Canis lupus familiaris: one gene and its partner. The protein of the gene in region 1 interacts with the protein of each later gene in a pairwise test. Links are inferred from orthologs where the notes say so. Each region holds a gene or a part of one and is shown in the gene's direction. Other genes may lie near its edges.

Region 1 (2,616 bases):
TGCCAAGGTACAGGTTGCCCCAGTGGAGCAGGTAGGGTGGTATCGGGGGCTGGTGGCCTGACATCTGGGTTCCAGCCCCTTTCCCCTGATGCAGACATTGATGAGTGTGAGTCAGGCGCGCACCAGTGCTCTGAGGCCCAAACTTGTGTCAACTTCCATGGAGGCTACCGCTGTGTGGATACCAACCGTTGCGTGGAACCCTACGTCCAGGTGTCTGACAAGTGAGTCCATGGGACACCAGACACCCGCCCCCACACCCCCCGCCCGCAGAAACTACAACTCTCAGAGGGCTCTGTGGCTGACTGGCTGCTGTGCAGGCTGTCTAGTGCTCCAGGGCCTATGGGAATTGTAGTCTTTCATGACTAAACCATGCAAACAGTTCTAGAAGGAGTGGGAGAATCCTTTGGGGATACCTAGTTTTAGGAATGGGACCAAACTTGGGGTATAGGCCAGGACCTCATTTGTGTCCCCATTTTGGGGTTTCTAGTCGCTGCCTCTGTCCGGCCTCCAACCCCCTGTGCCGGGAGCAGCCCTCGTCTATTGTGCACCGCTACATGAGCATCACCTCAGAGCGGAGTGTGCCCGCCGATGTGTTCCAGATCCAAGCAACCTCTGTCTACCCTGGCGCCTACAATGCCTTTCAGATCCGTGCAGGAAACTCGCAAGGGGATTTCTACATTAGGGTAAGGCTTTCCCCTAATTGCACCCCTCAAGTGACATGCATAATCCAAAACTGAATTCCAGAAAACCTTAAGTGGGAGATTTGGCTCTACCCCTTTTCTCAAAGCCCTGTCCCCCCAGGAGGTGGAATTTCTGCAGAAAGGTAGGGGTATTCTAAATTCCCTTGCTACAAACTAACAAACTACAGGTTGTTAAATGCAGTTCCAATGAGGCACTTGGACACTGGGGTTTGAGTCCTGGCACTGGTTTCCATATCTGGCCTCTGATTTGTTCACTCTTAGAACAAGGCACTGGCATGAGAAGCCTGCCCAGGTAACAGGACACAACAGGGTCTGGGGAACACAAGCAGATGGAGCTGGGCCTTGGAGAGAGAGGCAGCAGGGGTTGGTGCAGGGGTCTGGCATCCAAGAATCCAGCTCGCTGCTGGTGGAGCTATTAGGGAGAGATCCAGGCATGACTCACGAGGAGAGGGGGCCAAGGGTTTATCTGATATTAGTCCTTGTTTTCTCTTTCTGCAATTGGATGCTCTGAAGGGAAGTCAGCCAGCTCCAGGTCACCAAAGACCCCACCACTCCCAAAAGTTTCCCACCTGGCCTTGCATCATCAGTTGACCCTGATTAGACAAAAGAACTAGATGGAAAGTGTGGGAAGAGCACCAGTGGGAAATTTCTGAGGGCAGGAGCCTGGGTGCATCAGTGACAAGATGTCAAGGGTATCAGAGCTGGATGAGAGCCTGGGGTCACAGCCTGCTAGGACTCTCCATTTCACAGCCAACTGATTGTGGGCTCAAGATATGGGATGGGGAGGTGAGGCTGGGGCAGGGGTCTTGGCATGTAGGTTGACACAATCTACATGTCCCCCACCCACTATGCCCTGCAGCAAATCAACAATGTCAGCGCCATGCTGGTCCTCGCCCGGCCTGTGACGGGCCCCCGGGAGTACGTGCTGGATCTGGAGATGGTCACCATGAATTCCCTCATGAGCTACCGGGCCAGTTCTGTACTGAGACTCACCGTCTTCGTGGGGGCCTATACTTTCTGAGGTGGGGGTGGGGAGCCCTCAGGGAGGGAGAGGCTTCCTGTGGCCCAAGAGCCTGGGGCTCAGGGATGACTGTGCTCGGCTGCAAGGGCAGATGCTGTTGTGAAGAGTAGAAAGAGAAAGGCAATAAAGGGAGAAAGAAGGAGTCCTGGTGGCTGAGGTGGGTGGGTAACACTGTAGTGAACCCCTGGACTGGGGAAGTGGCCAGGCTGTGGGAGGCAGGCCAATCACCTAAAGGGGGGTATCTCCATTCGGGCTCAGGGTGCCCCATAGATAGAAGTTGGGAACTGTGTCCCCAAGACCAGGATTGATCCATGTACCATGCACATCAGAATCGGTCTGAGAATGGAGGAGATGATAAGGCTACAGACTCCAGGGACCCAGCCCAGGAACTGGAGTTTGGTTTATAACTCTACTGTAGACATTGGAGGCCTTGGGTTCTAATCCCAGTTTGGCCTCAAACTATCAATTTGACTAAACCCTAGTAGATTCTTTCTGGGCATCAGTTTTCCAATCTATAAAATGAGGCAATTAAGATTAGTGCTTTCCACATATTTCTTTTCCAAAACACAGAACTTATTATGGAAGGATATTTGATCCTATCAGGGAACTCTGATGATATAAACTAGATTCAAAGTTGTAACGCCTCACTGACTCCATCTCCTTGGTGGTCTCAGTGCTCTCCCAGGGAACCCCAGGGTCCTTAGAGCTCAGTTTAAAAACCACTGGATCTGTTGGTCTCCCCAATTTCTGCCTGGATACTTCACAAAGTCCCTGGCATCACCTCCATAATACATCAAGCTGCAAATACTTATATTTTTATTGTAGCCCAGTGGCTTAAAAGGCTGGCTAGCCCATGAAGGTGGGGGGTGGTGGTGTAGTCGGCCTCACGGGATG
Region 2 (3,813 bases), on another chromosome or scaffold:
AGAGAAAACACAAGCGGGGGGAAGGGCAGAGGGAGAGGGAGAGGCAGGCTCCCTGCTGAGCAGGGAGCCCACAGGGCTCAATTCCAGGACCCTGGGATTGTGATCTGAGCAGAAGACAGGCACTTAACAGACTGAGCCACCCAGGCACCCTTATGACTGAATTTTTTCTAATGAGGATGCATTATTTTATGGTCAAGATAAAGCATAAGAAATTTTTTTTCCTTTAAAGAGGATTTGAATTGTGAGCTTGGCTGACCTTGGTTTTGTCCTAAGGTTTAGGATTCTCTTCTCTGGGGCTCTCCTTCCTCTCTTGGCCTTCCAGAATGAGCTGGAGTTTGAGCAAGAGGCTGGGCCTCAGTCTGTTCCCACTCCTTTGAGCAATGATTCTAGGAACGAAATACCTGGAACAGTTTCCTGCTAGAGAAAACAGCCTCTCAGGGTTCTGTGGGTGTCCCCTGGTCCTGAGAATAGGCGTGTTGGGGGAATAACCCAGGAAGAAAGGCTGGATGAGAGGGAAGAAGGAGGCTCAGTTCATCCTCAGCTGGAGGAAATGATAGCCTCTTGGTACAAGGCTTAACACACATTCACAGGTGTTTTCTGTCTTTGATATTGAGCCCTGAAACAAGCCCAGTGGCCCTGGAATATTATTCCCATTTTATAGGTGAGAAAGTGGGGTGTTGCTGGTTGGGTTCCCCAGGGAGTCAACTGTGAGACAGTGTTTGGTAGGATGTTACCTCGGAAGGGTCCTAGCAACCAGAGCCTGTGAAGGGGAAGAGAGCAGAGGGCTGGGCAGTGGGGGAGGTGACCTGATACACAGCTTCAGCCAGCCCCTGGAGTTTGGCAGCTAAATGGCACATTAGAATCGTCTGGTTTGGGGATCCCTGGGTGGCGCAGCGGTTTGGCGCCTGCCTTTGGCCCAGGGCGCGATCCTGGAGACCCAGGATCGAATCCCACATCAGGCTCCTGGTGCATGGAGCCTGCTTCTCCCTCTGCCTGTGTCTCTGCCTCCCTCTCTCTCTCTCTGTGACTATCATAAATAAATAAAAAAAAAATTAAAAAAAAAAAAAAAAAAGAATCGTCTGGTTTGGGCAGCCTGGGTGGCTCAGCGGTTTGGCACCGCCTTCAGCTCAGGGTGTGATCGTGGAGACCCGAGATCGAGTCCCATGTCGGGCTCCCTGCAGGGAGCCTGCTTCTCCCTCTGCCTGTGTTTCTGCCTCTCTTTCTCTCTATGTCTCTCATGAATAAAAAATAAAATCTTAAAAAAAAAAAAAAAAGAATCGTCTGATTGGCAGTAATGGCTCCTCCTTTAGAGCCCATCTCCATCAGTCCCCCCATCGGTCCCTGGAAACGAGCTGCCCCTTGGGTGAGGTGGCTCCCTGTAGGCAGTCCCTGCAGAAGCTGACAATGGCAGACACCTGCCACCAGCACACCCCACAGCGGCGAGAGCAACCCCTTCCTCAATGGGCAAGTTGGAGATGCGTCTCCATATCGATCACATGGAGACTCAGCAATTTGAGCCATTTTCCCAACTTGAAGTCTACAGCTTGCAGGGGACAAGCCCATGAATCCCGGGCTCTGAATCCAAAGTGACCTCAGATGAGAAGGAGACAGCCTGGGGGTGCGGCGTGCAGCCCGGAGCAGTCCAGTTGGGGGCATGGCAGACAGTATGTTTGCCCTTCAGGCTCAGCTGTGGGAGTCCCTTGTCTTTCCATTGCAGGTGTCAAAAGGCTGGAGAGTAGCTGGCATGGGCGGCCGACCCTGGAGAAGGAGAGAGAAAAGAACTCAGCACCCCCACATCGCAGAGCTCAGAAGGTCATGATCCGCTCCAGCAGTGATAGCAGCTACATGTCGGGGTCCCCCGGGGGGAGTCCCATTAGCGGCTGTGAACAGCTGACTTCGGACCCAGAGGTCCCCACCCACAGCCCCAGCCTGTCCCTGGGGCAGGAGCCAGGGGCCCTTCCCGTGGCTCTGTCTAGGCCGCCCCAGGAGAGCCCACCCCTCCCTGGGATGCCGGACAGCCACCCACCGCTGAGACTGAAGAAATCCTTTGAGATTTTGGTGAGAAAACCCACGACCTCCAAACCCAAGCCTCCTCCCAGAAAATATTTTAAAAGCGACAGTGACCCTCAGAAGAGTCCGGAAGAGAGAGAGGACCCCCTGTGCCCTTCTGGGCACACCTTGCCCACGTGTGGCCAGGTAAGAGAGGCATCTCACAGGTTGAACATTCTCCTGAGCTCCAGAGCCCAGAATTGTGGTTTTGTTGCTACCTGTTTATTTGTATCTTCTGCACGGTCGTTCTTGAGCTCAAGCAGCAGCGTTAGCCACGGGGGAGGCAGGTTGCCCTGCTGTGTTGGAGAGAAGAGGCTCAGCTCAAGCTTCGGGCGGACCGTGCAGATTCGAAGCTTGGCGGATCCCAAGCTGAAGCCCCATTCCTGCTGGCTGGCTTCTGGGTTCCCTTCTAAAATATACTGGAGCTTACTACTGCTTTTGAGAGGCGTGTGTGGGGGGTCATTTCCAGGCTTACCTTGGTGCGGGGTGGGCAGACAGGCTGTGCCATCTACGTGGATGCCCGGTGGAATCTCAGGCCCACGAGCCTTCATGGCTGTGCTCCTTCCTGCAGCATCTGTTCAAGACCTGGCTTCCTTCCTCTGCAGCCGCAGGCCACCCCTGTGGGAAGGCAGGCCGTTGGCTGGGCAGCTGCTGCACTGTGGGCCATTTGCATGCCCGGGCCCTGTGCTGAGCACTACACAGCCACTGCCCTAGTCCAGCCCTACCCCCCTGGGGGTGAGGTGCCCACCCCCCGAAAGAGTTGGCTGAGCTCAAGCCCTCATGGCCAGCGGCTTGAGCGCTGGGAGACCCTGCCTCTCACAGCCTGGGTCCCAGAACTGCCGTGGCCAGGCAGGTGGTGATGTGGCCTCGGGACGTCCCCTGACCGCCTGTAATTGGAGTTGACGAACCAGGAGGGGAAGAAGCCCAGGGTGCAGTGTGGGGGAGGTTTGTGTAGGAGGGGGAAGTGATGGGAGGAGGAAGCCAGCCCACTGAAAGGGAAGTGGGGTCCTGCCCAGCCCAGCGCCACCGGATGTGGTTGCTTGGCTGTGCCTAATGGGCTGGTCCAGGTGGGTGCATCCCCTGCCTCCTGCTTGAAGCAAAGGTCGTGCTTCCCCGTGGGTCCGGAAGGGCAGATGAGGAACAGGGAAGCCGAGAAGCCAGGCTTTTCACTTTTTCCTGGAGACTCAGAAAAGGAGGAGCAGTTTTGCCAGGACAGGTCTGCAGGGCCGCGGGGCTTCTCAGTGATGCCCCGGGGGTCCCCGGCCAGAGCGGGCAGCAGGTGTGCCTAGGCCAGTGGGCTGGAGGAAGACGCGGGTTTCTGCCGGCGGGGGCTCCAGTGTGGGCACTTTCTCCGAGCAGCCCTCCCGGGGCTGGGGCTGGCTGTCCGGCCTCCTCCGCCGCCCTTGCCGGGGTCAGCAGCACCCTTTCCGGTGCCTCCGCTCTGTCCCACGTGGCCAGCAGGCCCTGCCCAGCCAGCACAAACCACATGACACACTCCTACTGGGAGTGGGAGTCCCAGTAGGGAAAGGACAAAACTGGGAAGCAAGGCTGGACCTCACTCGAGTCCCTGTGACCATTTCTGGGGCTCTCTCCCTGGACGCGTCTCTCCGTGGCCCCAGGGAACAGCATCTCCCTGGCTGTCCCTCCCTTTCTCCCGGTTCCCTCTCTCCCGGTTCTCTCAGGACAACCCCCAAATCTTTCCCATCCTGTAACTCATCAGGATGAAACCGCCACCACCAAAATGACCCTCAGGATATTATTTTC

Evidence for each region.
Region 2: the proteins of EFEMP2 (region 1) and IL16 interact in binary tests that used the Homo sapiens proteins (3 or more experiments, as listed by UniProt). The two-hybrid records come from large-scale screens. The link is inferred for Canis lupus familiaris from reciprocal best matches to the Homo sapiens genes EFEMP2 and IL16.

What each region holds. Positions count from the first base shown.
Region 1 is NC_049239.1:51,896,062-51,898,677, forward strand, and holds the end of EFEMP2 (EGF-containing fibulin-like extracellular matrix protein 2), read left to right. Parts: coding exon 1-7; intron 8-94; coding exon 95-221; intron 222-487; coding exon 488-683; intron 684-1,560; coding exon 1,561-1,722; 3' UTR 1,723-1,864; downstream 1,865-2,616. UniProt on the Homo sapiens protein: Plays a crucial role in elastic fiber formation in tissue, and in the formation of ultrastructural connections between elastic laminae and smooth muscle cells in the aorta, therefore participates in terminal differentiation and maturation of smooth muscle cell (SMC) and in the mechanical properties and wall integrity maintenance of the aorta.
Region 2 is NC_049224.1:56,966,878-56,970,690, reverse strand, and holds part of IL16 (pro-interleukin-16), read left to right. Parts: intron 1-1,717; coding exon 1,718-2,196; intron 2,197-3,813. UniProt on the Homo sapiens protein: Interleukin-16 stimulates a migratory response in CD4+ lymphocytes, monocytes, and eosinophils. Primes CD4+ T-cells for IL-2 and IL-15 responsiveness. Also induces T-lymphocyte expression of interleukin 2 receptor. Ligand for CD4.